Linked DNA regions of Tamandua tetradactyla. Each later gene encodes a partner of the first gene's protein in a complex. Links are inferred from orthologs where the notes say so. Each region holds a gene or a part of one and is shown in the gene's direction. Other genes may lie near its edges.

Region 1 (7,746 bases):
GGTTCTCCAGTGCCCTGGGCCTCTTCACCATCCTGGAGAGCATTTCCATCCTCATCTCCCCGCCGATAGCCGGTGAGGCCCTGGGAAGGGAGGGTAGCCCTGATGGTGGAGGTGGGACAAGGGATGGGGACAGGGCACAGCCTGGACAGACTGGGGGCTCCTCTGGCACCTGCAGGGGCAGGAGCTTGGGGTCTGTCTTTCCCAGCACCCCAAGGGACCACACTGCAGCCTCTGCCCCAGTCAGTGTTTGGGGTGTGGGTGCCAGACCTACCAGGGTCCTTCATCTTCCTCTATGTGCCTCAGTTTCCTTATCAGGAAAGTGGGGGGTAATAATAGCATCTTAAACTCATCAGCTTGTTGTAAGGATTAGGAGTTACAAAGAGCTCAGCAGAGACCCTGGCACATAGTAAGTGGCACTGTGTAGGTGCTTGCTACGATTGACATCCTAATATTTGGAGGTTATAGTCACATATTCACATAGGTTCTCCTACTTCCTGCCTGTGGGGACCTAGGCAAGTTATTTTCCTTCTCTGAGCCACAATGTGGTCTGCACAATGTTGAAAAGAATGCCTGTCACCTATCAGGAATTCACCTGTGCCAGTCCCTAGGTGGGTGTGGCTGAATACCAAGACCCGGCCCCTCCACCCTTGGGCTTCCCTTCTGGAGGAGGGGTCAGGAATTAAAGAACCTGTCTGTAATTACGATGGTGATTTGTACAGAACATGGCGATAGGGATCCACATGAGAGGACCTAGGTGTGGGCTGCAGCTGAGAGCTTCATTCAGAGTAAATGAGAAAAGGTTTGTAAAGCGCTTGGTGCCAGGATGCAGGCAACAGACAGCATGTCGGGGCGGTTAATACAGTAAGACCCAGCAGGTCGACTCCAGTCCAGTGGGAGAGCCTTCCCCCAAGTTCTCCAAGCAAAGCACACAGGAGGAAGTCTGGGCAGAACCTGGGAGGTGGCTGTGCAAACATCCCAGTCTCCACTAGTCCAGTCTTCTTGGTTCCCAGCCACCAAGGGTGAGAAGTCACCCCTTAAGTTGCCCTCTGGCCAAAATTTTTTGAGAATTCTCCCTGCCCCAGGCCAAAGTAGATAAAGCATTTCCTCCCCTCCTTTCATCCAACAATGATCTTTATCAAGTACCTTCCAGGTGCCAGCTATGCCTCCTGGCACTGTGGACAAAGAGAAACAAAAATAAAGTCCCTGTTTGTGGTGAGCATAGTATGGTGGGGAGGGGAGTATCCAGGAGCCCTGGGCAGTGGCCTGACTTGCTCTCTGTCCCCCAGGATTCCTGCTGGATGCCACCAACAACAACTTCAGCTATGTTTTTTACATGTCGAGCTTCATCCTCATCTCGGCTGCCCTCTTCATGGGCGGCAGCTTCTGTGCCCTGCAGAGGAAGGAGAGGCAGGGCAGGCAGGCTGAGAAGGAAGGAGCCATCATGGAGGCTGCCCCGGAGCAGGAACTTTTCCTGGAGGGCACAGATGGTCCTGGCAAGCGGCCGTGCCCCGAGATCATGTATGTGACCACTGTCTGAGCCCTGAGGTTAGTGAGTGACCACTGTCTCAGCCCAGGAATGGCACGTCAGTTGCTTCACCAGAGGCTGTGGCCAAGGGCTGCCCCAGGGAGCTTGGAACAGGTTTCACAAATGAGACCTGGCCAGGAGCTGGGACCTTGGATGCTGCCCTCCGAAGGCTCAGAGGTATTTCCAACCAGCAGAATCCAGGAGTGGATTCTTCTGACTTTTTCCCTTGGGTTCCACCAACCGGGGGCCCAGGAAGGCTTGGGTCTGACATAGCTGACTCTGCTCAGCTGGCCACCCATGACTACTCCCACAACTCAGCACAATGAACTTTCCAGTCCAAACTGCATGCCTTCAGCGTGATCACACTTTGTCTTCGAGACAATTCCAAAGAGCTCATCCCTCTTTCAGGGCCCTCCTGCCGTCCTCCTTCCCAAGTGACCCAGCCCCTGCCCTTGGCAGCCACAGCTGGCCCAGGCTGCCCCCACCACAGGTTGCCTCACACTGACTGGAAGTCTGGGATGAAGGGACCCATGAGAGACTGTGATGTGGCCTGCGGGCTGGAGGGCCAGGCTGAGGAGTTGGCCTGGACACAGGATTTGACAGATTAAACGTTGGGTGGTGTCCCCATCCTGGTGTCTGTGCAGAGATGTGGAGGGGAGCCCCTGGTGAAGCCTAAGGGGACTTCCTCCTCATTTAGCAGGGTCTGCTCTAGGGTCTCCTTCCCTCCTTTGCACCCCCACCCTGTAGTCTTGGCATAGAACATCAGGCCTGGTATGGGAGGAAGTCAGGCGGTCAGTTGTCCAGGGGAGAAGAAGACTGGCTAACTAATGTCCAGGGACCTTTGTGAAAATAGGGCTGCTTTTGTGAAGGAAGCCCTTGCACTTCCCTCTCCTGCCCTCCCAAGCCCCCTTCACCCTGCTATGTCAAGGCGTCAGCTGAGGGTAAGGAGTTGGCTGGGCCGGCTGCCAGTCCACTCCTGGGCCCTGGAGACCAGAGCTTCCCTCTGCACTTGGCCGGTGCCCTTCCCTGAGGTCACCCCAAGGCCCTCCAGGGACTGGCTGTCATCAGCTCAGACTTGTCCCAGCAGGATACCCACCTAGGGGGGGGGATGAAAAACAGGGTCTGTTTGAATTACATACAAAAACACTCCCTGCAGCGGATTATGAATCACTGGAGATTATGAATCCAGTGAACTCTTAAGAGAACAGGCCTAGAGGACATTCCCTCCTCTCCACTTGGCAGGGGCTTTGCAAGGCTTCTCAAAACCTTGTTGATTCAGGCTCAGCCAGGCTCGGACAAGAAAACCTTATCAGGCCAAGGAGAATTGATTTCATTTTCATAACCTGACCCCAGCCTTCCTCCCCACTGATCCAGCGGGTGTGAATAAGCATCCTTGGGGATGTCCTCCCGACTCCCCCAGGAGCCTGTCACGAGTGCCCCCTATTAGTCAGTCGTGGTAGTGCAGGGGCAAGGCAAGAGTACTGGGCTGGGACGGAGACCAGAGTTGATGTTGAACTCAGAAACAACTTGCTGTAACTTTAGGCAAATTGTTCCCCATCTCTGGGCCTTTAAAAAGGAGCTTGGCCTGGATGAGCATGCTCTGAAGGAGTAGAAAAGAGGGCAGTTGGGGGCTGGTAGGTAGATTAGTACTTTGATATGTTGTGTCTCCCCATATAGGCCCATTTCCTGAAAACAAATTTATTTTAAGGAAAAAAAAATTGAATATTCAACATAGAGTACTTTGACCCTGACCTCATTTCCCCCCAGGCAAAAGTGGCAATAAACCCTGGGCAGAATCCCTTCAACAAAAAATTTTATTGAGACCTTAAAGACCTGGTCGCTGCCTTCAGAACAAAACAAAGGACTAAGAATTCTTTCCCAAGGAGAAGGATCCCTGAGGGTTTGGGAGGGAATAAAGCCAAACACTTGAGGGATGGTGGGGTGGCCCATCTAATTCTAGAACCCAAATTTAGCTGATTAGCCTGGGACTAGTCTAGAGGACCTGGGGCAACTCCTGCCTCCAGGCCTTTGCTGTTCAATCCAGGCAGAGAGCTACATGTCTCCCAGCTTTGGACTGTGATGCATGTCCCTGTGCCACTTCAGCTCCTCACAGAAGCCAAAGACCTGGGGAGGGGGCTGGGGCCACCACCCTCTCCAACAGTTTGGGTACCCTGAGCTCCGACTACTGTTAAAACCGCTCCAGAGGGTGTGTGCAGAACAGGGCTGACCACAGGGACCTAGTAGGTCTGCAGAAAGTAGGGGCCTGCTCCCAAGGGAGCTGCTGCTGGCTGGACTGTTGTCACTGTCCAGCCTCTGGATGTCACACGGTCCTCACCCTCAAGAAGCTCACGGCCTAAGCCCACTTCCCCCCCACATTTTCAAGCACAATGGGAGTGGTGGTGTTACCTCTTTCCCTGATGCTCCAGTCCCGGGCACCCACGAGGTCCGTTACATACCTCCTTTCTGGGAGGTCCTGAGAAGGAACTGGGCCGGAGGACTTCGGCACCCAGGACCCCACAACCCAGAAAGCCGCCAGTGGGACACATGGGTAAACCCAGGTTCCTTCTAGGGCTCACCGATGCTGTCCCAGGCGCCCCCGCCTGCCTTGCTAACAATGAGCCATGGGATAGTCTCCAACCCGCGTGATTGATGGCCAGAGGTGGGGAGGAGGGGGCGTCGGACTCGCCCAACTTTTTGGAAAAGCCGCCCCAATTGTAAAGTCATAGGACCGACACGGGGAACGGGGAGCTGACGCAAGAGCTACGCAGGAGCGTCCCTGGGCCGAGGAGGCCAAGTTGCGACCCCCGCCAAGTATGTGGAGGTCTGGAGGTGCCTCTGCCTCGACGAGCCCCCACAGCGGTGCCTCTGATTCCCCAGAGGCGCTCCTTAACGCCACCCCCGACCCTCCCACCAACCTGAGGCCCATTCTCTGCTCGCGGTCGGACTGGTGCCACAAAGTACACCCCGAGTAACGCGAGGGAAGCCACGCCCCTTTCCCCGCCCCTTCCGCCCTGCGGGGTGGGAACTAGCACAACTTCCGCCGGAGGCCGGAACCCCGCGGAGAGCAGAGCGTTGGAGTCGGGGATGCGGATGCTGGTCCCTCCCCTTCCGCTTTAAGTGGCAGGGACACCCGGGTCTCCAGTTCCCCAATTTTGACTTAGCGTCCCGAGACCCCATCCCACCCCCACATCCCAGTCTAAGCCTCAAGTTACAGCACAACCTGAACCCAGGAAAAGAACCCGTTTCCCGTCCCGGCCCCGGCTTCTCCGACGGGTGGTCGGTCCGGTGAGGTCCACGTCTGGCTGCCCGGCTTCGCCTCCCACGCCCTCCCCGCCCGGGCCCCGGGGCCCTCCGCCGCGGCGACGATGGCCCAGAAGCCGAAGGTAGACCCTCATGTCGGGCGGCTGGGATACCTGCAGGCGTTGGTCACGGAATTCCAGGAGACGGAGAGCCAGGGTGAGAGCCGCGAGTGGGAGCCAGGGGCCGGGGTGGAGGTGCGGCCGCGGCCGCCGGGGACCTGCCTCCAGCGCCGCTTTCCCGTTGCAGACGCCAAGGAGCAAGTCCTGGCCAACCTCGCCAACTTCGCCTATGACCCCAACAACTACGGGTATCTGCGGCAGCTGCAGGTCCTGGATTTGTTCCTTGATTCGCTGTCAGAGGAGAATGAGACCCTGGTGGAGTTTGCCATCGGTAAGGATGGGGTCGCCTTCTCCCCCCACCCCCACGAGCCCAACCTTCCCCTTGCACTGCCTGGGAGGCTGGAGTGAGATCAGTGAGAAGTGAGTTCTTCGGAAGGGAGTCTTAAGCAGCCCCTCGGCTGTAAAGGCAGATCTTTGCGATGTCTGTTATGCCTCCTCGGTTGTCCAAGGTCACAGGTAGTTTGAGACAAGCCTGTAACTTCACACCCAGGACCCTCTCTCTCCTGCTTAGAGGCGAGATCACAAATGAGGGAATGGATTGAAGCTATTTTGAGATTACTCTGTCTTTAATGTTTTAATTTCAAAAAACATAAGGATGACTTGGGCTCTCTAGCTTATAGCTCCTGAAGTTGTTATGGTCTTACGACCTATTGAATGTATGTTTATTGGGTCTGTCCTGACAGCAAGGTGCTGTTCTAAGAGGAGATGTCAAACAAGTTGGGAAAATGTGTTTGTCCTCAGGGGGCTTACATTCCAGTAAAGAGAGAATTGGTGAACAAGCAAACAAAAAAGGTGATACTGTGAACCGAATTGCCAGGGGTAAGATAAATCAATAACAGTTGGGGGCTACTTCCATTTTGGCCATCAGAGGAAGGGCGTATAGGCTGAGGCATGGCATGGACAAAGACCTGAAAGCAGGAAGGAGCCAGAGGAAGGTTAGTGTGGCAGGGCTGTGGCAAGTAAAGGGGAGAGTGGTATAAAAGGAGGTCAGAGGGTTTGGCAGTGCCAGAGCTTACAGGGCCTTGGGTCAAGGCTATGTGGAAAGAGCTTGGAATTTATTCTGAGAGCAAACAAAAATTATTTTTTCATTATACATCTTTAAAAAAAAAACATATCTCTATTTAAAAATAACAGTCCTCTAAGTGACAGGAGTTTTATTTACATAGGCAAAAGAAACTTTTAATAATAATTCCTAATATTTACCCGGTATGCACATCTCTTCAGTAGTCCCCAAAGGGACATTTTGTTGTTGTCGTTGGTTAGGATAAGCCAGGATCCAGTCCAAGATCCTTGAGTTTCCTCTGGTTGTTAAATGGTCCCTTAAATCTCTCTTTCTCTGTTTTTAATCAACATTTTAAGTTTAGAACAGTTTTAGAAAAATTGCAAACATAATACAGAGTTCCCATATACCTGGGTTCCCCTGTTTAGCGTCTGACATTACTGTGATACATTTGTTGCAGTCAGTGAACCAACAGTGATATATTATTAAATTAAAATTTGTACTTTATGCAAATTTCCTTTCTGTTCCTGGATCCCATCCAGAATCCCACATTACATTTATGTTTTTTTTTTTATTAAATTTTTTCTCTTTTACAGAATCTTTATTACGAATGGTCAGTGTTAAAAGTGTGAAATGTATAGAAGCCATTGCTTGTGAAGTCATTTGCGTGCTCTAGTTGTAGAGATGCAACATCAAGTTCATTGCTACATATGAGTACAGATTTTCTTCCTGGGCTATGTGATTTGGAGTTTGCTCTCTTTATCAGAGTCATAAAAGTTAAATCATACTCTGTCTTTCCTTTTATGTCTGGCTTATTTCACTCAGCATTATATCCTCTAGGTTCATCCATGTTGTCAGTGCTTCAGGACGTCATTTCATCTTACCGCTGCATATAGTATTCCATCGCGTATATATACCACATTTTGTTTATCTGCTCTTCAGCTAATGGACATTTGGATTGTTCCATCTTTTGGCGGTTATGAATAGTGGGTGCAAATGTCTGTTCATATCACTGTTCTCAGCTCTTCTGGGTATATACCCAGTATTGGTGTTGCCAGGTCATAGGGCACTTGATATTTAGTTTTATAAAAACTGCCAGACTGTCTACCACAGCTGCTGAACGATTGGTTATACATTTCTACCAGCAGTGCCTAAGTGTTCTGGTTTTTCTACATTCTCCTGTTTGTTTAATAGCAGCCATTCTTATAAGTATGAAATAATATCTCAGTATAGTTTTGATTTGCATTTGCATTATAGCTAATGAAGATGATATGCTTTTTGACCATTTGTTTTTGCCCTTTGGAAAAATGTCTATTCATATCTTTTGGCCATTTTATAACTGGATTGATTGTTCTTTAGTTGTTGAGTTGTATAATTTCTTTATGTACACAGGATAGCAAACCTTTATCCGATATATGGTTGCCAAATATTTTCTCCTGTTGAGTTGGCTGCCTCTTCATCTTTTTGACAAACTCGGCTGCCTCTCCATCTTTTGACAAACTCCTTTAAGGCACAGAAGCTTTTGATTTTAAGAAGTTCTTATTTACCTATTTTTTCTTTCGTAGCTTGTGCTTTAAGTGTAAAGTTCAAGAAGTTACCTCTTATTACTAGGTCTTGAAGATGTTTCCCTATATTTTCTTCTAGGAGTTCTATGGTACTGGCTCTTACACTTAGGTCTTTAATCCATTTTGAGTTAATTTTTGTATAGGATGTAAGTTAGGGGTCCTCTTTCATTCTTTTGGCTACTGATATCCAGTTCTCCCAAGCCCTTTATTGAAAAGGCTATTCTGTCCCAATTCAGT
Region 2 (7,682 bases), on another chromosome or scaffold:
CTGCAAATAAAAAAGTTTCCAACACCAACCTAGAAAAGAAAACAAAATTTATTTTTATTATTGAAATGCAAAGCCATAGAAAGCAAAAGCTAACAAATATCTGGCTTTAATGACAGATTTCAGACATGTTAAATAGTCTTACTGAGACTGGCCATTTATTGCAAGAAACTTCATCTCTATATAATTAAGTTTCTTCCTCCACAGTCTATGGAATTTACTACATGACAAGTAATTCAATTTCACTTTACATTAGAATCACCCAGAGAGCTGGACACACTAACGAATGGGGAGCCCCACCTCTAGAGTTTCTGTGTGGAACCTGAAAATTTGCAGTTCTACAAAATGTTTTTGCTGCTGGTTCAAGAACAGTAGTTTGAGAACCACTGCTCTAGACATTCACTTTACTCTAAAATGGATTAGACAGGAATCACCACGCCCCATTACAGAGGTTTTGTTGTTTCTTTTCCAGGAAATAGCCTGCTAGTGAGTATATACATAATTGTGTAGAACTATACATATATAAGTATATACACACAAACACACGCGTGTGTATCACATTGATCATTTCATCATGATCATTAATCACAAACTGTAATGAACATTACGTAAGAAATATTCATGAATTTGGTTTACACTAATTTAAAATTAGGAATCTATTGACTTTCCTTAAGAAAACTAATCCTTTTCTGGCACTTGAGTATTATATTTAGCAAGAAGTGATATGCTTAATTATAACTAACTTTTATACATCATTATATTAGGTCTCCTTAGAGGCTCTAAGGGCCACACTTCAATTGTTATAATTACATCACTACCACCTTCCAATCTGTAACTGGGTAACTGAAGAATTGAATGAAATAAGCTATTATTGATTTTTTAAAGAAGGACAACACTGCTAAAGAAGGACAATAATGCTGGACTTGATCCACTAATAAAACACACTATGGTTTTTCTCTATTGCCAACAGAGTTAGCACATTGTTTAACATTAAAATAAAAGTTTTAAAACGGTTTTAAAATATAATTTCCCTACAGTAAAGCGTTCCAACTTACTCTATTAGTGGTGCTCCATATAGAACAAAAATTACATGAAAGGAGAAACATGACATTAGAATGTAGAAACAACATTTCAAAAACCTGGATACCTAAAAAAAGAAATGAATAATTTCAAGACTCAACAGAACACCAAAAATAGAAATTCTAGTATTTTATCTATAAATTATTCTCATAATATATGGAACATTTGAATGTTCTTTGGATTGGGGTTTACTGAAGAGTTAGATTACATATTCTGTGTATAGTTACATATGCAGCATTCAACACAGCATTGTAAAAAAGCCAGAAAGTGAGTTCTTCCCCCTATTTATCCCCCACCCAACACTAGAGCCAAAAAAGGGTTCTCTTTCTGTGGTTTGTGTGCATTTATAAAATATTCATTAGTAACAGAATGCCGGGATATAAGAAAACCAAAATACAGTCATTATAAAGAGTAGCTTAGAAAATAATACACAAAATATTTACAGAATAAAAAGAGCTACAACTTTTTTTTATTAAAAAAAGAATTTCTAGGGAAACTGAATCAAAAAAGCAAAATACTAACACTAATCATATTCACATTACTATATAACCCATAGTCAAAAAGACCTGCATGTTTGCAAATTAACCTGGGGAAATACACATTAAGCTTTTTTCAACATAGGGCAGTAAAGGTGTTTTAAGATATTTAACAGAGAGCTTAAACATACTATTGAATAACGTTAACTGAGGACTTTATTAATTTAAAATAACAGTCAACATGTTACACAGGAATGAATTAACCAAGATTCCAGAAAATAGATTATCTGAAAACTGTACTGCTTAGTCAAGGACGGTTGTTTAAAACAACGGAGCTACCATTGAAGCTCCGTTGAGTGTACATATATATATATATATATATATATATATATATATATATATATATATATGCTTTTAAGAATTTTAAGTCCATTTATTAACAATGTATCCCTTTGATAAGATTATGCTTCAGGAGGGTTTTAATGCCCTGGAAGCTTATTTTTACAATTCCTGAAAAAGCCCGTTAGGTATCTTTTGGAAATGGAAAAATATATTAAAATAAACTGTAATGAAATAAATTTTAAAGAAACAATTGCCACATGTATTTATCTTCACTGGGACATAAAACAATGATTCTTACTTATTGCTTTTAGCAGTATATAAGTTACTCATTTGAAAAAAAGAACATCATATTCCTTTTACTCACTGTAAATAAACCAATGAGAATTGGACTAATACTTTATTCTTTCTTTAACAGAAATACCAGCCGCATCCAAAAATTAGCTATCAAGAAACAAGCCTTACCTTGTGTGTTAATGAACTTCTTTTGGAAGATGCATTTGGTTTTACTGTTAAGTATAATACTAGATTGATGGCAGTTACAAAAGCAGAACAGATGCACAACCATGTCAAGTGTGTTTCCAATACTGAGAAGTTCTCCAAGAAAAATGATGGAATGAAGATGCTTAAGATAACTGAAAATATGCACAGAAGATGGACATACAAAAGTCTCTTGATATCAGTTTCTTTCATGGTGTTTCTTGGGTGCCTATCTAATGAAAAAAAATTAAATTAATGAAAGAGCATGTGCAATAATGCATTTTTCCATTGTTCCACCCCCTACAAACAAGCCATGAACTAAAGTAAATTTTCTGTGGACAATAAAGGATTTGTTTCAGAATACAGAAAGGTTTGTAAATACACTAGATTTAACATTATATTTTACCTTAGATTTTCTTGATATGGTACCCACCCTTCTACCCAAAGAGTTCTCAAGAGCCTATAAAGGATGAATTTACTAATTTCTTAAATATCTGTGATTGATGTTTGCAAATGGCCATGTACTGGGGCCAATTAAGCAATTCATTTCAGTTCTTTTGCCAAAATCTGAGATCAAAACTGCATGGATTAAATTATCTGCCAGTATTAGAAATAAAACCTATACATACTAGAAACTCCATGAAGCACTCTGGCCAAGTTGCTGATTTTTTTTTTGTTTGTTTAACCACTGTGGACCTTTGTCCAACATGATGGTACTTCATTTCTTCTAGCAAGTGCCAAAAGACACCAAGTACACATTAGAATACTTAAACGGTGGCCAGTGCAATCAAGAGAGTTCAAAGACTGTTATGCTAAACTAATAGATCCCAGCTCCAGAAATACCAAAATGACAACGTTTCTTTTATGGATATTTAAAGAATGATGTTATAGGTTCTAGATTCCAATCACAAGTTGAAGGTATATGGAAGGAAAAAAATTTACTCAAGACACACCTATATACACACAGACAGAACTGTGAGAGAGCAAAAGGGTGACCTGAGGACTTATCTAAGAGCTTTACACAGGCTCTCATATAGTCCTCATAACAATGCTCAAAGGCAAATATACTGTTGATAAGGAAACAGGCCAACTTATGTTAAGAGACACCCAAAGTCACAAGCTCCGTGCTTAAGTCATTCCAAAACCTAGCTTCTCTTTCTCTCTATCACACCAAGAGCTGGGAAGAGAACGGACGTCAACGGGAATCAAGGGAAGGGTCTTTCGCAGGTTCTACCCTAAGCTAATGAACGGAGAAGGAACATATTCTCTCAACAGTACCCCTTCGAACACCATCATTTTGGGCCATCCTCAGCATCCCAACGTCAGAAGATTTGGATCTAATCAGCGAGCAGTACACAAACTAAAATGTTTGCTGAGTGAATGAACGAGAGTGGAAAAAGTGTTTTCCTAGATTTTAAACGAGGGGGTGGGTCCTCCTGAGAAACTAAGGACCCAGCGTGCCCGTAAGAACATCTGACAAGCGCCCCACCCGGAGGCCACCGCCCCGGCCCAGATGGACAGGCATCATTACAGCGCGAAAAGGCCCCTTGGGTCTGCTCCCAGACGAGCCTACATGAAACTCGCCGGACCTTCACCTGCAGCCCCACCCCAAACCAGCTCGCTCGGGACCTGCCCAAGCCTCAGGTGGCGGGAGGGTGAGCCGGGAGAAAAGCACTGAGAGGAATAATCAAGAAGCACAGGTGACGGAGACAAGGGAAAACTGATGTAGTGAGATAGAAAGTCGGATCCGAAAGATCCGTCCATTAGGGATGTCCCCGGGTCACGCCCGAGGGGTGGCGCTGGAGCGGAGGGTGGGCGCGGGAGGGCCGGGGTGCACAGAAGCTCGCGCCCATTTCGGCAGTTGGCTCGGGCTGTTTGCACCCCGGGAGGCAAGCGTGTCGGAAAGCGTCCGGCTGGGCTTACCTAACTCTCCAGCCCGCGGAAGGCAAGGAGAGGATACTGCCTCCCACCATCAGGTTAGACTCTCGGTCCTGACCCTCGGCGCAGGCTCAGAGTTGCGTGGGCGGCGACCCAAGGTTGCACAGCCAATCGCAAAAGTGCAGAGGCGGGCAAATAAATTAGCCCCGCCCCCTCGGTCGCCTTTATTCCTCCCGCTTTATTTCCCAGGTATAGCATAGGAGGGAGCGTAGGGTTTAGTGGCCGGAAGTGGTTTGACGTAACCCGGAAAGGAATCCTTCCCCGGCTGTAGTGTTTATATTTTCAAGTTGCTACAGTTCCTTCCGCTAAGAGGAGCGTCGGCAAGAGAATGGTGTGCGAGAAATGTGAGTTAAAGGGACCCGTATACGGAAGATGGAGGCCAGGAGAACCTAACTGAACTTCCTTTAGACCTGTGCCCTTTCTTTGTATTTCCTTCTACCACAGGTTTCTGATTCGAGCTTATTTCTTCCTTCCCTGTCCCTTGACCATTCTTACCTCTCCTTCAGCGACCCATATCGTCCTATTTATTTTCCCTCCAGAATGGTCTCAGTTCTGCTCTTCCCTGTCCATTTCCGTTGCCTCCCCCCAGCTGTGGGTCTCACCGCAAACCCCAGCTTCTTGACTGGCTTTCTCGCCTCACAGACTATCAGAGTTGGAATGGATCTTATAAATCGCTCCTAGAACAACTAAATTTAGCCAATAAAAACACAAGACGCCCAGTTAAATTTGAATTTCGTATAAGTAATAATGTAAGTATTATTGGCCACGTTTGGTGCCCCGTACTACTGTAAATGTTTTGTCCCATGCGAAATTTAGGACGTGCTTTATTAAACCCTTATTCGTTGTTTATCTGAAATTCAAATTTAACTGAACATCCTATATTTTATCTAGAAGCCCCGACTCAGCATCCCGTCTAATGTCTTAAACACTCCTTGCATGAATACTTACGGAATTGAGACTGGGTCTTGGGACCCTCCTCAAAACAGTATATATAGACGTCTTTCACTTTTAGGAAAATCTATCCTGTTATAATTGCCACCCAGTGATTCTAATCCAAATGAGCTTGCCAGAAAACATCTCATGGCTTTTTGATTTCACGGTTCTTTTTATTTTTTAAAACCGCTGCCATATTCTCAAGTCTTCCTTTTCTCAGGCTAAACATATCTGTCTCTTTATCTTTCTTCCTGTGACATGGTTGCAAGTCTCTTATCATTCTGGTTACTGTCTAGTAAACATAATCCATTTTCTTTGTAAAGCTTTGGAGACAGACATCCATGGGTTTAAATCCCAGTTCTTAATGTTAGGTAAAAGAATAGGAATGGATGAGTTATTTAATATTTCTTGACTCCAGTTAACTCTTTTAGAAAAATGAGAATAATACATAATTCATAAAGTTTTGTGAGAATTAAATGAGATAATGTAGTAGTGCTTGGTATAAAAATGCCTGGGTGTGGACATAAAATTGGTAATTTCCATTATGCACCACCACCCTTCCCTCCTTTCACCCCAATGTGTGGGACTCAGAATTGAACTCTACTCTTTTCTGCGTGGGGCTGAGTAGAACTAATACATTTCTTTTCTCGATACTGTACTTTATACCAATATTGTCTCACAGTAAACTTAAAAAAGGAGCAACAACAACCAATTTGTCGAGATATATATCACATATTATAAAATTCACCCAATTAAGATATGTGATTATGTTTTTTGTGTTTTCAGAGTCGTACACGGTCCGTCACCACAATCCGTTACCACAAAAAGCATGTTAAGTCTTCCCCATCTTGCATTTAAGCAGTTTTTTGGTTTTGTTTGTTTTTTGAGTGAACGTGTTGGAAACGTTTTTAGATTATGTACCTGCCCTACAGTCTTTCATCTTGTGTTGTGAAGTTCTTACATGTGTAGGTTAGTCCTTCCATGTAATTTGTGTTAATTTTGTACATTTTAACTTTTTAGAGAATAAGAATTCTACCTGGTTTCACTTGTTGCATGTAAATGCCTCTTACGCTGTAAGTGCTTTGTCCCAGGGAAATTGAGGCTATTGGATAAATTATGAGAGTTAATTTCTCAAGGTTCATTATAATTTGGGCTCTAAGATCTGCTGTGGTCTTAAAATAAAATACCTGTTTGGTCTGCAATAAGATGTGTGTCATAAAGGTCATTCTCTCTTTAGTATTATTTTTTACTTCTCTGCTCTTCTGTAAGCCTGGCTCTTCATTGTTACTTTGGTCCAATACCTTTCAACCTCCTGTCATCTTGTTCCTCCAATAAAATATACCCTCTTTCTTATATTATTTTGTATCTCCTGTCTATCAGTTTATTCCACTTACCTTATAAATAAGCTCAGATCTCTCTTGTACATAAAGCCACACTCTCAAGCAACCTTTACTGTAATTTTTAAAAAATACTTTCTTTGTTGCCTCCAAATTTTCACAATTGCTTCTTACCACCTTACCCTACAAACTGACTTTCACTTTAGCACACTACTGGAAGAACTTTTCGAAGTTTGCTGGTGATCTCTTAGTCATCAAGTTCAAAGATCTTCTTTCCATCCTCCTCTATTCCTCTATAGCTTTGATATGTTGCCAGGCTTTTTGAATTTACTTCTTCCTAAGCTTCTTTACCATTATGCTTGCCATGTTTTCATATTTCTCCTTTCTCCCTTAAAGTAGTTGTTTCCCCATATCTGACTCTGACCTTTTCTTCACTCGTTTTTTACTTTTTTCTTTGAGAGTTTTTTCATTCATGTAACATACTTATGCAGATGAATATCTAATCTACATCTCCAGCCTTGATTTCTCTCCTACATAAGCACCAGTTGAGCATTTTTTCCCAGACAATACTGAGAAGATTGACCTGGTTGTTATATGGTAGTTTAATACTTGCAGGATTGAATTCATCATCATAGTTTACAAATTTGTACCTTTTCTCCACCATTTAATGACTCAATCCTACCAGTCACCCATTCATGAAGCCTTAATTGACTCATATCCATTCTCCCATCCCTCTGTAAACCTATAGTCAAATGTGTTGCCATGTTCTGTTTATTTTACTTCCATTCTATACTTCAGATTTTCCCTAGCCTCCCATTTCCCACTCCAGTACCTTAGTGAGAATCCAGTGTTTTTTTTTCTTTCTATTTTTTGGCATGTGCAGGCTCCAGAAACGAACCCAGGTCTCCCACAAGATCCTGATCATTTGACTTAAACTAATATGATCCAATATAGAAACATCAGCTCTCTTCCCCCTCAAACTGCTCTCCCTACCTCTAGGCTCTCCTCTGGCTAAGTGATCCTATCTGTAAGTAAGGACTACTGGGGAAAGTTGCTCAAATGAACCTGTTGGTGCCACTAAAAAGTCATGATTTCTAATCTC
Region 3 (8,038 bases), on another chromosome or scaffold:
GAAAGAACGTACAGATGGTATTGTAGACCACTTATCCCGTAAAACATTAAAACTCCTCTCCCTGACAGATATGTTGATAACAAATCTCCAGATCCCTGTGTCATGTGAAACTCAATTCACGTACTCTGTGAAATGCCCTTGTCCTAAACCCTTATAAGCTGCTCCTTGCATTTCCACCCTTGCAGTGTGCTACTTTCATTTTTACCATATGGCCACCACTGGAGACCCGCTCCTGTTTGCAAGTCCTAATGAAACTCATGTCCGACTCTGTACCTAGTGTGTTTGGAGCTTGGGGCTGCATTGACTCAAGACCTTCAAGAGTTGAGTTGGAACAGGAGGCGTAGGTGAGTACTTAGGAGGTGTGTGCCTGCACAGGCCCCCCATAATGAACCTGGCAAGGCCAGGTACTGGAATCGCAAGGAAGCAGCCTGAGGGGAGAGGTCATTGGGGAGAGGACTTCTATACCATTGATGGGAGGAAAGCAACTGAAACATTTGCTCCCTTCCTTTGACCTCCACCTGTGAAGAGGTCATGGTCTTTTTTACTGTCTCCCTTCTCATCACAGCCTTCAAAACTGTATTACATTACATTACATTACATTACATTACATACAAACTGCATTACATTAAAAATAGTTGAGAAGGCATAGCTTTTGAAGATCTGGTTCAGTTGGTTCAGATGGCTTGACTACCCCACCCTGTTAGTTCCCACTTACGCTGGCTTGATTCTGGGGGTGCCCTTGGCTGCCTGGAGATCAGTCTCATTGGGAAGCTAAGACTGGTCAGTAGTGGCCTGGACACCTTGCTGACATCTGATGAGCCAGAGAAGCTCTCACGAGCATGGGCCAACTGAGCTTTCCAAATTTAGGTGGCTCTTGCATCAATATTGGCCAAAGCCTTGTCACCTTCCCCCTGAACTCAACTGGCATTCTTGTCTCCAGCCGCTCAACACCACACAACAGTGACTTTTCTAAAGCACAAAGTTGATGGTGACTCTGCCTTGATAAAAATCTCTTCAGGGGTTCCCTATTGCCACAGCAGCAGCTCTCACACTTATGACTGCACTCAACGTAAAAATGGATGTTAACATCATGATTCCATATACATACAAGTGCACGTCCACAGAGATGCACACACACACATAACGGATACAGGTTTCATGAAATGAAATTTACCCTGATGACATGAGATGTAATCTGTTATTTTCTGTTCTATTCTATCCTATCGTTTCCTGTTCCAGTTTTTAAATGCTGGGACTAGCCTCTACCTTAATTTCATTGAATAAATGGGTTGTGGTCCAGTTTGAGAAACTCTGGACTACAGACACCCTTCACAATCCAAGTCCATGCTTGTCTACTCAGTCTCCATGTGGTCACGCCCCTCATTCTCCCTATTTGCCTTGCATGTGCTGGTTCCCCTACCTGGAGCGCTCTCCCCATCTCATTTGCCTGATAAACTCCTTTCCCTACTTCGAAAATCAGCTCCTAGGAAAGATCCCTCAGCAAGCGGAGTAGATGAACTCTCTGTGTCATAACAGACTAATGGATGGTTCCATTAGACTCCTGTCAAGCTCTCCCATAGGACGCTGTGATGGATTCAATCATGTCCCCACAAAGTCATGTTCAAGTTGCAACTCCTAGTCCTGTTGGCATGGACTCGTTTGCAAACATGATCTTCAAAGATCCTATTTAGATGTGGTCAAATTGAACCAGAGTGGGCCTAAATCTAGTATGACTGTAGTCCTTATAAAAAGGAAATTTGGACACACAAGTACAAGCCATAGGAGAAGACAGAAAGAGACAGATCGGCATGTAATAGAGGCAGAGAATGACTGCTGGCTAGTGAGCCAGCGCCAGAATGCTATAGACTTTGGAGAAGGCAAGTCCTGATAATACCTTAATTTTGGCCTTCTAGTCTCTCCACTGTGAGCCAGTAGTGTCCTGTTGTTTAAGCCAAACAGTTTGCGGTATTTTGTTATAGGAGCAATGCCAACTAAAACAGACCTTTACTTCTTTGTGTGTCCTTTTAAACTCTAAGCTCCTTGACTGTAGGTTTTTGTTTAAATTAGAATTTCATCTCTGTATCCTCAGATACAGACATTATGTCTGGCTTATGGTAAATAATCAGTAACTAGTGTGCTGAACTGAGAGAGGAAATAGGACATTCAAATTCCCAAACTAGAACACTTCACCTGCAATGCCAGCAGCCCACTGTGGGGATCCTAAATCTGTATGTCTCAAAAGGGTTCATGTAGGCTTTCAGATATGCCTCACGGGAGATAGTCTATCATGGTGGAAAGGTATATGGATTTTGAATTCAAAGATATCAGGAGTCCAGCTCTGCTTCTTTCGTCTATGGACATAATATTGGTGTTCACTGATATCCAGTTCTCCTCTTTTTCCAGGCCCAAAGTCTACTTCCTCCTTGAGACAGGGCTATGTGATTTGATTTGGCAGCCCAATGTGAAACAGAAGTGCCACATGTTCCTTTTGAGTGGAAGCATTTAATTGCTGGGGCTCAACTTTATACCTTCCTCTCTCAATTCTTAGCGATAATGGAAAAGCTCTGAGAGCATGTGGACACCTGACCAGGCAAGTACCTTGTAAACCTAACTTCCGTAAGTGTCAAACTTTTCCTGAAACTTCTAAAACAATCCAGAGATGCTTTATCTATATGCGATTTGCTGAGGTTCCATCTCTTTCAAGCCAAAGATAAGTATTTTTGGAGGAAACACCTTCAAGGAAATGATTCTTACGATTTGACATGACTTGCCTTCTGGTGTGATGAGCACCCCGTTTGTTCTTTCCTTCAACAAATATTTTGGAATGCACAGGGGAGAGAGCAAAGCCTCTGATCTTGAGGAGTTTATATGCGAGTAGTGGGAAAAGGAGGCACAGACCATGAACCAATAGTTATGTCTGGTGGTGATAAATGTTGCAGAAGAATTAGGTGGAGTAAAGGGATCATGTTGGAGAGTGGGTGCTCTCTTATAAAATGCTCAAGGAAACATTCCTTGAGGAAATGACATCTGAGCAAGACCAGGGTGAAAAAATGGGATGTTGGGAGAAGAACATCTTCAGTAGTAGGAACAGCAACTGCCAAGGCCTTGATGTGGGAGAGAGACTGTGGTGTTTTAGAAATAGCAAGTGGAGGCTATGTGGCTTTGGCACAGCAAATAAGGAGAGTAACAGCAGATAAGACAATGGACATGGTGTAGACCAGACAGATCATGCCAGGCCTTTCAGGCCATGGTAAGGGTTTCAGATTGTAGCAGGCACGAGATGGGAGGCCATTAGAAACTTCTGGGAAAAGACTGGCATGACCTGATTTATGGTTTAGGGGCTGTGTTGGGAACAGATTGTAGGGACAAAGAGTAAAAGTGGTTTCTAACTTTGAGGCCGCAGCAGAAGTGCCAATGCTAAAGAATGACTTGGAACGAGATGCTGGAGGCAGGGGTGGTGAAAAGGGATCAGATTTGGGACATAATTTGAAGGTAGAGCCAACAGGGTTTGATGAAGGATCAGACATGTGATATGAGAGACTAAAGGCAATGAAAGATGGCCTGAGCACCTAGTAAAAGACAGCTACCACTTACTGAGAAGATGAAGACAGTATGAGCAGGTTGGGGGAAGAAGAAAACGTGACTTAGTTTGGATATTTTGAGTTCGAGATGCATATTAGACATCTTTGGAAGTAGAATATATGGGTCTGGAGTTTAAAGAAGCTGAAAGGGCTGGAAATAAGCGTTTGGGAGTCATTGGCATATGGATAGTATTTAAAGCCATGAGATTGGATGAGAGCATTCAGGAAATGAGAGTAGATAGAGAAGCCATCTCCTCCCCATCCTCCCAGGAATCAGGTATCTGCAAACTCTAGCAATTCTAGGATACTGGGGGGAAACTCAAGCTAGGAATAGAGGCAGGGGTCTTTTCCATATTCCCAAGTCCTGGGATGCAAAAGCCTGGGCTTTCTCCCAGGTACTGCTCCTGCTTTTTTACCTTGGCGGCAGAATGGCATTCAAGATTTCTTCTGCCTGCTTTGTAGGGTCTGGGACAGAGGAAGTTGAGGGAAGTTTGGTCTTTGGTGGCTGTGGGACTGGACCCGAGGGTCCAGGCTGCTGGGGGCTGACTTTCAGTGGCCGAGCCTGAAAAGATAGACAGGCTCGGGTAAGAGGCACTCAGCTCCACACATACTGGCCCCCTGGATGGCCTCCTGTCTCCTGCACATCCCTCCCCTATTCCTGGCTCACGTTTACCTTCTGTCTTCTCAGCAGAAATTGACTCAAAGTCAAAGGAGGCCATCAAGAGCCTCTGGTCCCACTCCAACCATTTTTGGCAAGGGTGCTCGGGGCTTTGCTTTCACATCTCGAGCAATGGAGAAATCACTACCTGATTTATTATTGAACGCGGCTACCAAAAAAAAAAGATTAAGTCTGATCCTAAATCTGCTTTCCGGAGGCACATCCAATATCTGGCCTTCTTGTGCTGCTTTTCCACCCTCCTTCCCCTGCAGCCTCTCTCCCTCGGTTTTCCAGACCCTCAACGAGATGTGTCTTCCTCCATCGGAACGTCCCGGCTCCCCGGACCCCCGAGAGCCGTCCTTACTTTGGGGCTCCGTTTCTCCGTATTCCGGCTCACTAGCACCGGGGTATCGTACTTGAGCAGTGAGTCTGCGGGAGGAATCATGGCGACACAAGGGGTAGTAACCCAGCAGCCACCCCTCTAGTCTAGGCCTGTTTGCCGTAACCATGGAAACCCCCTTTCCAAGCCTCATTGCCTGGGCGGGGCTTCGGTGTGGGGCGGGGCCAGAGGCGAGCGAATCTCATTCTCTTGCCCTGTGTTTGCGGAAAGTTCTCCTTCAGCTAAGCTTTCCCGACTTCTTGCCCGCCAGCCCGCCCGCTTGCCCCTGGGCTTTTGGAAGCAGGATAAGCTTGAGTTCGAGTCTCTAAACTCCGTTAAACTGCGTTTGAATGAGGGATCAGGCCACCTGTAAAATGGGAGTTATCTCCCAGTGAAGGATTGATTGAGGAAGGTTCCCGTTGGAAGGTATGTGGAGTTCCCAAACTTCTAATTTTTTAAAAAAGTATTTTTTTTATCAAATGGAGAAATTACAACATAACAGAGTTCAGAAAATAGGAAAAAAGCATTATTGATTTTCCAAAATCCACCATCTATGATTGCATTTCCTCCTTTCCTTTTCTTCATGTGTTTCTGAACGTAAATGAAATCAGAATTTGGACCCAATTTTGTATTGTACTTTTTCTGTTTAAGTCAGCGCTTTTTCCATTCGCCATAGTTTGTAAAGAGCATTGCCTTGGCGACATAACATTCCATCAATGGGCTAGGCAATTACCTACTGCTAGGCATTTAAGTTGTTTCAGTGTTTTGTAATTACTAATGACGTGACAAGCCCTTGAGAGTATGTAGCTTTTTCCAAGTTGCTTTTTTCCCCTGATAATGTGGTTTAATTGCAGTTTTTCCAAAAGTATCTCCTTTCCCAGTTAAAAAAATATATACAGATATGTTAAAGCCTGCCCCTGCCCCCTCAATGGGCGGTGAGCACAGTTCTCAGGGAGGGCAGCCACGCCTCTCCCGGGGCCTCCCAGGACAGTCCCTGTGTGGGAGCAGGGGACGCGTCCTCGCTGACCTACAGCCCGGATCCCGTTCCCTTTCCAAGCTGCTTTTGAAACTTGAAATTCCCGCCTCCGGAACTAGTGCACTACGGCCCCGCCCACTACGGGGTCGTGGTCACGTGTTTGGAGTCTCCGCCGCTAGGGTTTCTGGGAGAGCGCTCACCCCGGAAGGGGAAAGCCAGGGGCCAAATCCGTCATTTCCTTCATCAAGCCGAGCTCCAGCGATCTCTTCTTTCCCTCAGCGTAGGTCGCGGAATGAAGGAGGTAAAGAATGAGCGGGAGCGGGGCAGCCGGCGAAGGCACCGGGATGGAGATGTGGTGGTGGTGGCGGCGGCAGCGGTGGTGGTGAAGCAGGAGCGCCTCAGCCCGGAAGCAGCGCCTCCAGCTCACCGCCGACCCGAGTCGTCTGGCGGAAGCCCGTCCCTGCCTGCCGGCGAGCCGAGTCGCCCGGGTCACCACGGAAACCGAGTCCGAGGAGGCAGCCGGTAAGTGGAGAGAGGCCCGAGATGGATCTTGGGTTGGTTTCGTTGAGAAGAGAGGGCAGGGCTGGCATCAGAAATAACGAATGCTGGGCTCGGCAGCTTGGACATAATCCTGGAGGCGAAGAAAGTGACTCAGTCAGCCTTGAGTTAAACGTTTACGCCTGCATCTGCCACCTGATTTATAGCTGGGCCTTTAGCGCCTAATGCGCAGGATTCCATCTCTTCATCTTGATGTTTCCAGCACCCAGCAGAGTATGGTCCAGAAGATAGCATTAATAGTTTCTAAACTTGAAAGATCTATTAAATTGAGAGGTTTTCCCTGTCTGCCCGTCAAGCCAGGGCGGGTGTTCTTCCAATTCTTTGCGCCAAAAGGTTCCCACATTGAGGGCCCAGGAGATCTACCTGATGGAAACTCTGAAGAAAAAAAAAAAGATTTGTGAGACTCAATGATTTATTCACTCATTCAACATATATTTTTATTGAGCACCTAGACTTATACCAAGTACGAGGCCTCAAGGATGAATAAGACAGTCTTTATCTTTGATGGAATAGATGTTCTCTATCCTTGGCATAAACAAAAAGCAAATAAATGAAATAGTTTTAATTAGTAACAAATATTAAGGATAAGTTCAAATAGTAATGTGATAGTGAGGAATTGGAGGGCAGAAGGAGGCCTCTCTGAACGGGGGGCCTGAATGATGAGAATGATCGAGCCTTGTTAAGATAACAGGCAGGGGAAACAACAGTGCAAAGAACCAGAAGTGGAATTTAATGTTATATTTTCTAAGGGAAAAGTCCTGGTAGGCAATTATATAGGTGGGTCTGGAACTCAAGGAAGACCTTAGGGATAGGAAAGTGAGACTCCTGACTCCTTTTCTGTGATTAGCAGAGACCTTCACAGGTGTGTTTCTGTTAGTAGATAAGCCTGATACTTGAAGTTGATTTACATGGTGGAAGGGACGTTGAGATAAAATCTTGTATGTACCATGCTCTGAAAAGGTCCCCAGCCAAAAAGAAGAGCAAGTCCTCAGGGAGAAGAGGCAAGTCTCCTCGGAATAAGAGAAGCCGAAGTCCTCACCATTCCACAGTCAAAGTGAAGCAGGTAAGTTGAAGTGCGTGCTTTGACTTTAGGTCCAAAGGTATAGCTTTTTCCTATCATTGATAAAGAAGGTGTTTTCATCTGTACCAGAAAAGGGCTTTGCTTTTTTTTAAAATTAAGTTTATTTTGAGATATTTGTTGATTCGTATGAAGTTGTAAGAAATAAAACGGGGAATTATTCCTTTACCTGGTTTCCCCCGTAGTATATCTTGCAGAAATATAGTATAGTATCACAATCAGAATATTGACATTGATAGAGTCATAAAGCAGCATTTCCATCACCACAGAATCTCTTTTATATATTTTTATACAAATATAAATGCACGCACACACATACCTCTTATAAACACACACACTTTCCTCCCACCCTTACCCCTTCTTAACCCTTGGCAACTGCTATCGCTGACATCTACTGATTTTTCCTCCATTTCTGTAATTTTATCATTTCAAGAATGTTACATAAATGGAATCACACAGTATGTAACCTTTTGGGGTTAGCTGTTGCCACTCAGAAGAATTTTTGGAGATCTATTCATCTAGCAATAGTTCATTCCTTTTTCTTGCTAATATTCCATGGTGTGGATTTACCACAGTTTAACCATTCACCTATTAAAGAACATCTGGGTTATTTTTCTTCATGGCTTTTGCCCATTTTCTAATTAAACTGTTTGTCTTTTTACTGTTATAAGAGATTTTTGTATAGTCTAGATACTAGCCCTTTGTTAGGAATTTGGTTTGCATGTATTTTCTCCCAGTCTTTAGCTTGTGTTTTCATTTACTTGCTAGGATTTTTTTATAGTAAAAGTTTTTAATTTTTAAGTCCAGC
Region 4 (7,985 bases), on another chromosome or scaffold:
GGAGAGAAAAAGGGAGAAAGCAGGTAGAAGCCTGAAATTGGCTCCCGCCTGGGGTGCCAGCAGGAAGAAAGCGAAAATGGCTCCAGCCCTTTGTTCTGGGAGCTGGATTTTAAAGGGACAGTGATGCCAGGAGGGGAGGGTTCTGTTGTTTCCTGATTGGATGGGGGCTTGTAACATGTTTATATCTGGATCCTTGGACCTGCCAAGGATGCTGAGGAGTGGGGCTGAGGGGGGCTCTGCATCAAGAGTTCCTTTTGCTTTTAGAATTTTCTTTCTGAAAACCAACAGTGTCTAACTTGAGAAATGAAAGGCACTCCTTGAGTAGATCTATAGATGTGAAGCCTGGCGTGGGAGCAGAGAGAGAAAGGACTGGAGAATAGGAGCTGGGGGGAGTATAAGAGTATTTAAAGAGCTCGGAGGGGCCAAGGACTGGGCTGGACCTGCACAGGGATTGCAGCCACTCCTACAGCTACTTGCTGCTTGTTGCTGTTACCAGGTCCTGCTGTAGTGTGGTGCTGGAGCGCAGGAAGGCCCAGGAGTGCCTGAGTTTGGAGAAAGCAGAACTGTTGGATTTGGGGGATGAAAGGGTGGACCCAGCCAGCTTGGAGGTACAGACTGACCATGGCCTGTGCTGCCAGATCTGCTATCAGTACCAGATGCTCATCAACTCCATCCAAAAAAAAAAAAAATGCCAGTGACAAACTAACAGAGGTCCTTGAAGAGGCCAACACTCTGTTTAATGGAGTATCCTGTGCAAGAGAAGCAGTTCCAGATGCTTCTTCTTTTGGCTTCAGATTTGGGAAAAGAGAAAGCAACGTAGCTGCGCTCTGATCTCAATTCCTTTGATATGTTAAGATATGCTGAACTCCATTGGCACAAATGGGTGTAAATCTGCTAGAAGCTGAAGAACTCATCCGTGATGAAGATAGTTCTGATTTTGAACTCATAGTCTATGACTCCTAGAAAATATCAGGCAAAACAGCAGAAAACACCTTTAATAAAACCTGTATATTCCACTTTCTGTTGGGTTCAAAACAAGGAGAGCTACCTGTACCAAAGGCAAACATCTATTATCCAAAGAAAGTTTGCATGATAGAAGAGAAAGAGAGCATTGCCAGCCCAGTTAAAAAGAATGGAAAAATCTCATCAAGAAGCAACAGAAAAAGAAGTGGAAAGAATCTTGAGATTGTTGCAAACCTATTTTCGAGAAGATCCTGATACACCAATCTCATCAAGAAGCATAGAATAAAGAAGTGGAAAGAATCTTGGGATTTTTGCAAACCTATTTTTGAGAAGATCCTGATACAACTATGGCATTCTTTGACTTTGTGGTTGATCCACATTCATTTCCTGTACAGCAGAAAACATCTTTCATATTGCTTTCATTCTAAGGGATGGTTTTGCAAGATAAGACTTAACCAAGACTGACTGCCCCAATAATAGAGCCTGTTAATATTAATGAAGAAAGTGAGGGAATTGACCAAAACACCCAGATTAGGAATCAAGGAATTATAGCTTTGATTTACCAGGACTGGGATGAGACTGTGAAGATCTTTGAGATTTCAGAGACTGCAACTGCCTCTGTTCAGAGATGGCAGAGACTAAGAGTTTGATGCCAGCTGAAGAACTCAAATGGATGGAAAACAGCATGTATTGCATATATTGTATGAGAAAAACATTTTTTAAACTTTTTTTATTGTATAATACGACATATATACAAAGCAAAAAAAGAAAAAAAGCAATAGTTTTCAAAGCACTTTTCAACAGGTAGTTAGAGGACAGATCCAAGAGTTTGTCATGGGCTATCATGCCATCCTCTCAGATTTTTCTTTTTAGCTGCTCCAGAATATAGGAGGCTAGAAGGAATACATATTTTTTTTTATCATCACAATTGACTTGTTTTTTGTAAAAAATAACTTATATACAAAAAAGCAATAAATTTCAAAGCACAACACAACAATTAGATGTAGAACACATTTCAGAGTTTGGTATGGGTTACAATTCCACAATTTTAGGTTTTTATTTTTTGCTGCTCTAAGATATTGGAGACTAAAGGAAATATCAATAGAATGATTCAGCGATCAAATTTGTTTGTTAAACCCTACCTTCTCCACTATCACCTTTGATCTTTCTATCCCACTCTTTAGGGGTATTTGGGCTTTGCCTATTCTAACTTTTTCATGTTGGAAGGGGCTGTCAATAATATGGGGTAGGGAGATGGAACTAGCTGTTGTTCTGGAGAGGCTGGGCCCTCTAGGTTTCAGGACTTATCTTGTCCAGGGACCAATCTGGAGGTTGTAGGGTTCTGGAAAGTTACCCTAGTGCATGCAACCTTTGTAGAATCTTATATATTGCCCTAGGTGTTCTTTAGGATTGGCTGGGAATGGTTTTGGTTGGGAAGTTATGATAGGTAGCAAGGTCTAAATAATAGGTAACAATGTCTAACTTCCAGAGTAGCCTCTTAACTTTATTTGAACTCTCTCAGACACTGATACTTTATTAGTGTATAAGTAAACATTTTTTAAGATATTATTTTTAGTAAAATGCAGATTTTGATAGCTAAAAATAAAGAGCTAGGAGGTATGTGATAATGACTTCGAGTAAGATGATAACTGGAAATGATGCATTTTATAGATACTGCAGTGGTACAATTTTTAGGACTTGGTGAATAATTGGATGGTTTTCTCGGGGTGAGAAAAAGTGAATGCTGAAACGTGACACCCATGGTTTTGATAAAAATGATGTTAGTGTTGCCCAAACTATGGAAGTCAGGAGGAAAAGCTGCTTCTGAGTGTGGTGTGATTTGGGGAAGTGGAGAGATAACTTTGGCTAGCCAAATTGTTTAGTCCTTCCTTGCATTTGTTTAGTCCTGCCTTTTGCTTTCTTAGCATTGCCTGCCAAACCTAGATCTGAGCTCTGCATACAATAGGTGTTACATGAATGTTATTGGTGGAGATCACCAATCGCAACCTTGGATGGCAAACCCTGGTCCTCCTTGTGTCCTCCTCTGGACCTCTGCCCCCTTTTATCTCTGACTTATGGAAATCTCCAGGCATTATTTTACAATATTTTCTACTAACTGGAAGCATATCCATGGAGAATCTAACACGGCTTTTTTACCTATTTCAGGCTCTCCTCGGGTGATCAACCCTCCCAATGTGCTCTGGATTTTCAAATTTTACCACTGAAAGTCCTCACTCCTGGGCAAACCAGGATGGTTATCAGCTCTCCCAGCTTCAGAACACACTGCTGAATCCACCACCTCAAGAGCAACAGTCTTCTTATGTTCTCCTCAATCTTAATTGTTCTTCCCTTTGGTTGGTCTCAACCCTACTCTTGGGTTCCAGCTTCTTTTTAAATGTGGATGAGTGAGCCCCAGGTGTACCCCCAGCATTCTCAATTCATAGTTACTTTAAGAAGCCAACCAGATAATGCTGCATGCTAGCTTACCACTTTGCAGCGGCTACTTCAACACTACAACTAAGCAACCTGAGATTTCCAGGAGCAGATAAAACCCACATGCAATCTGTCATTGTTTAGTTTTCATTGCCAAGGTAATCCTACAAAGTTAATGAATAGCTGAGTGGAGATAGACACAGAATGAATGAGTAGACACTATCATAAGTAGGCAGCCTCTGTTCTGTTGCTTGGCAGTAAATGTGTACATGGTGAACCACTTGAGGGTAGAGTTCTCAAAATCATCATCATCGATAAAATGTTTTTATAAAGGGCCTAATTTCTGTGGCTCAGAGCTAGGCTTACACAGAAAACTACATAGCTCTGGATCTTCACTTTTAAAACATCATGGTTCAAGACCAGTCACTGATTTGGAGACATGCAAGATGGATTCAAACCTTCATGGTTTATATACCACCATCCCTTCTACTGGGTCCTAGATATTTCTGGAATGACCTCTATTAGGCAAATATATCTTATCACCTCAATTACATTATTAGCTCCTTGGGGGCAATAGGGCTAGCCTCATAACTCCTAGCTACAGGTTCTAGTTGTACAGGACAGATAAAGGTGATAGGCAAGGACTGATTAAGTCAACCTGACCGGATGGGCAGAGTCGGAGTCTCTTTCAAGCTAATTCCTTTGAACCTCGGTTTCTTCATCTATAAAATGGAGATGGTAATTGTATCTACTTCATGGGGTTGTTGTGAGAATTGACAGACAATACATGTTAATTGCTTAGCACATAACCTGGCATTGGTTATCACATTATCTGCTCAAATGTTAGCTATTAATTTGGCTTAAGTAGAAGAGGCCATGGAAAAGGATGAGCGTAGCAGCTCTCACAAATTTGGGATATTCAATTTAGCACAGTCGGTTGCTTATGTATTGGGATTTGAGGGACGACAAAAGATTTACTCACTCACATATATCCTACATTTTTGTGCCATAACTTCTAAACATGATGAGTATGTGGGTGTGACTCCTGGGAGTGAGGACCCGAGCGGGACCTCGGAAGGCGAACCTGGAGTGGGACAAAAGTCGCCACATCAGGCATCTTCTTCATTCAGTAAACATTTAAGACCAACCCAACCAGTGCGAGGTATGATCCAGGAGCTGGGGACCCTGTAATAGACCAGACTCACACCCTTGTCTCATTTCACTGAGGGAAGGAGGAGGGACTAGAAAAAACTTTCTTTTCTCTTACTAGAAGAGACAGGGACACCGAGCGAAGGAAACCTTTTCCACGCTTGTGCGCAGGCGCTGCACGTCGGCGCGCCCTCTTCCGCCGCACGCTCCGCCGACTCCAATGGGCTGCGGCGCCGGGACTGCGCATGCGCCTTGCAGCTTCGCCCGGACGCTAACGCCCAGGTTGTAAGCTCCGAGCCGCGGAGATGAAGTAAGGCGGTACCTTCCTTCTGAGGAAGCGGGATCGGACTTCCGTGGGTGGCCTTCGAGGGCTGGGGCGGTCGAGCGTCTGCGGTTCCAAGGAGAGGGAGAGGCGTGGTAACTGGAGAGTCTAGTGCCCTAGTTTTGCCTTCCCTTAGGCTGGGCCGCACTTACTTGTCTCCTTTTCCGCACTCCCCCCCCCCGCCCCCCCCGCAGCGCCTTAACCAAGGTGAAGTTAATCAACGAACTGAATGAGCGGGAGGTCCAGCTTGGGGTGGCGGATAACGTGTCCTGGCACTCCGAGTACAAGGACAGCGCATGGATCTTCCTAGGTACGGGCCACATCCTTCTCCCCTGTGTTCCTCAGCTTCTGGCCGGTTTCCTAACGCCTTCGCTCTGCTCCTCTCCACATCCATCACCCGCTTTTATCCATCTGCTATCCACCCTTAAACCCGTTTTCCATACCTTTTTTTCCTCGATACTCACGGGAGTTACTATTCCTGTTATCTGTTCTCTGTGCTAAAAACCTTGTACGGGACTTCTTGAGATCCCCCCACCCCCCCATATACTGTTGAAACTGAGGCGCAAAGAAGTTAACCGAAAAATTTTAAACAACATAGCTAGTAAATCGAAACTATGGAATTCTGAAACTCAAAAGTCTTAAACTTAGCTACTATCCTATATTACTACTAACCCCACTCCTTAGATTTTATTCTACTCATCTGATTAGCTGCTGCCTTCTGTCCATGGCCGTATTGCCATCCCTTATATTCACTTGTGTTGTAACCGATAATTCTGTACTTTGTTCAGAGAGATTATTTATTGCACCAGGGATTGTGCTAAGCACTCTATGTGCATTGTTTTATTTAATTCTTATAACAAGTTCATGAGGTAAGTACTAATATCCCCATTTCACAGATAAAGAAAGCAACATTTGAAGTGAAATTTGTTTCCTATGAAATGGTTGACGGTTGTTTTTCTAATCCTTAGTCTGTGTGGGTGGGATTAATATTAACATTGACTGGATTATAGATTTTAGCTATAAATTTGTGGGTAAAGAGCAGATGAATCCAAGATATGTTTGTGGAAGCAGAGTTTTGTGCTGTAAACTATCTGCTTTGTCTACGATTTTGCGTGTGAGGAGGACTGAGTGATCAGTTTAGCTTGGTTAATGATGACCCTGGTCTTTGCACACAGAGCTAATCACTCTATTTTCTGTACTACTTCTGCACCTTAAGTATACCTCTGTCATTGTATCAGACCGTGAGTTCTTCGAAGGCAGAGCCTGTGGCTCACTCTTCTTTACACCCTTTTTTTTTTTATTATTTTTAACTTTTTTATTGTATAGTATAACACATATACAAAGCAAAGAAATAAAAAAGCAATAGTTTTCAAAGCACTCTTCAACAAGTAGTTACAGGACAGATCCCAGAGTTTGTCATGGACTACCATATGATCCTCTCATATTTTTCCTTCTAGCTGCTCCAGAATACAGGAGGCTAGAGGGCTTAAATATTTTTTTTTTATCATCACAATTGACTTTTTTTTCCTTCTTTTTTTTTGTAAAAAATAACATGTATATAAAAAAGCTATAAATTTCAAAGCACTTCTTTACACCCTTAATGTCTGACCTAGTGCAGGGTCTGTAGTACACATTTGAGAAATGTCTGTTGAACTGAAATGTGGTTTCCTCTTCTAGGAGGACTTCCTTATGAACTGACTGAAGGAGACATCATCTGTGTGTTCTCACAGTAAGTTCCCTTAAATTTTTTGCTTCCTGGGTGGACAGAGTAGTTTGCTTCCATAATACATTTTATGGCATCACAAAAGCCATTTATTTGAATTTTAGTGGGGAGCACTAGGGCTTTTGCTCTAGTCTAGAGCAGTCCCAGGACATTTGATTTTAGGATTCTCCCCTGTAGATGATGTTAGTGGTTGAATAATTTGGGGGGCTATCTTGGGGAATTACAGTAAATTTCTATCGCTTTTTCACTGAGGTGTGTTCAGCCTGGGCCTACACTGGAATAGACTGGAACTGCCAGGAAGATACCATGTTGGACCCATCTCCTTGGCATCCTGTAAATTGGGGATAATCCATGATCACAGGGCCCTTCCGGGCCCACACTCGTGTGGCATTGTAGGATTAGGAGCAAAGCATGGAGGAATTGGGGGAAAATGTGAAAGGTTTAGATGGTGGTTTGCTTTCTTTGTTTCTAGACGAGTGTAGGGTTAAGGAACAAAGCTGATCTCTTTACCCACAGGCTGATGAGAGAAAGAATGAATAGGAGAACCTTATATTCTTCATTTTGCTATGAGATGGTAGCAGCAGCAACTGTGGGAGAGGGTGTGTGCAGCTCACACTAGTAGTGTCAGTGAGTATGAAAGGGTTGGGCAGCTCACACACAAACCCAGAGCTAAAGAGAGTGGTTAGACAGTCCACAGGGCCAGAGAGCCTTTGCAGCTCACAGAAGCAGAGACCCACGGCCTGTGGATTGTGTAGCCCTCTGGGGCTAAGAGCCTTTGCAGAGAGGTTGGACGACATGACGGAGGACCTTGGCAAAAGGGGCTGAGCAAGCAAACACAGGCAGCATAACCTGGTGGAGGAATTGCCGTATCAGGACAGTTGGGCTGTCCCTTAGGCAGAGGTCCATGGCAGAGCAGTTGGGCAACTTATGGGGCAGCAGGCTTTGGCCAGATCATTGGGTGGCAATATAGGGCAGAAGGCCATGGGAAAGGATTGGGCAGTGCACATGAGATAAAGACCATGCCAGGGGGCCTGGGCAGCCTACATAGGCAGAGAGCCCTGGCTAGGACTGAGGCTGCTTTCTTCAGCTTTGGGGCTTCGGGAAGTTCATGGCAGGTGCAGCCTATAATTTCTACCTCTTTGTGTGGTAGTACATCAGACTTTCATCTTGAATTGAGTGGTGATCAGCCAGTGTGTATGCTTATTCTCATTCTCTATTCTGGCTATGTACTATGTACTTTGCTTTCTATGAAGATTGCCTTTGCTACTGATACTAACAGTGGCTTTCAAATTAATATTTTCTGATAATGAAGGTAACGTATAGTCTTATAGAACATTTGGCAAAAAGAAAAAGTATAAAGTAGAAAAGAGTGTACTTGACTACACAAGGAAAATC

The links.
Region 2: ARMC7 (region 1) and CRIPT share a complex: the UniProt entries of both Homo sapiens proteins name them as parts of the minor spliceosome. The link is inferred for Tamandua tetradactyla from reciprocal best matches to the Homo sapiens genes ARMC7 and CRIPT.
Region 3: ARMC7 (region 1) and SNIP1 share a complex: the UniProt entries of both Homo sapiens proteins name them as parts of the minor spliceosome. The link is inferred for Tamandua tetradactyla from reciprocal best matches to the Homo sapiens genes ARMC7 and SNIP1.
Region 4: ARMC7 (region 1) and RBMX2 share a complex: the UniProt entries of both Homo sapiens proteins name them as parts of the minor spliceosome. The link is inferred for Tamandua tetradactyla from reciprocal best matches to the Homo sapiens genes ARMC7 and RBMX2.

The regions. Positions count from the first base shown.
Region 1 is NC_135332.1:15,527,594-15,535,339, forward strand, and holds the start of ARMC7 (armadillo repeat-containing protein 7), read left to right. Parts: upstream 1-4,588; 5' UTR 4,589-4,890; coding exon 4,891-4,981; intron 4,982-5,071; coding exon 5,072-5,215; intron 5,216-7,746. Other genes in the region: SLC16A5 (monocarboxylate transporter 6), read left to right, coding at 1-72, 1,287-1,537. UniProt on the Homo sapiens protein: As a component of the minor spliceosome, involved in the splicing of U12-type introns in pre-mRNAs.
Region 2 is NC_135343.1:18,610,574-18,618,255, forward strand, and holds the start of CRIPT (cysteine-rich PDZ-binding protein), read left to right. Parts: upstream 1-4,517; 5' UTR 4,518-4,638; coding exon 4,639-4,654; intron 4,655-7,682. Other genes in the region: PIGF (GPI ethanolamine phosphate transferase, stabilizing subunit), read right to left, coding at 1-29, 1,053-1,144, 2,358-2,601, 4,296-4,345. UniProt on the Homo sapiens protein: As a component of the minor spliceosome, involved in the splicing of U12-type introns in pre-mRNAs. Involved in the cytoskeletal anchoring of DLG4 in excitatory synapses.
Region 3 is NC_135328.1:187,752,408-187,760,445, forward strand, and holds the start of SNIP1 (smad nuclear-interacting protein 1), read left to right. Parts: upstream 1-4,786; 5' UTR 4,787-5,044; intron 5,045-5,796; exon of another isoform or gene 5,797-5,873; 5' UTR 5,874-5,886; coding exon 5,887-6,116; intron 6,117-7,112; coding exon 7,113-7,215; intron 7,216-8,038. Other genes in the region: DNALI1 (axonemal dynein light intermediate polypeptide 1), read right to left, coding at 3,998-4,143, 4,604-4,684. UniProt on the Homo sapiens protein: Required for pre-mRNA splicing as component of the spliceosome. As a component of the minor spliceosome, involved in the splicing of U12-type introns in pre-mRNAs. Down-regulates NF-kappa-B signaling by competing with RELA for CREBBP/EP300 binding.
Region 4 is NC_135353.1:33,109,064-33,117,048, reverse strand, and holds the start of RBMX2 (RNA-binding motif protein, X-linked 2), read left to right. Parts: upstream 1-4,777; 5' UTR 4,778-4,850; coding exon 4,851-4,855; intron 4,856-5,061; coding exon 5,062-5,177; intron 5,178-6,544; coding exon 6,545-6,596; intron 6,597-7,985. UniProt on the Homo sapiens protein: Involved in pre-mRNA splicing as component of the activated spliceosome. As a component of the minor spliceosome, involved in the splicing of U12-type introns in pre-mRNAs.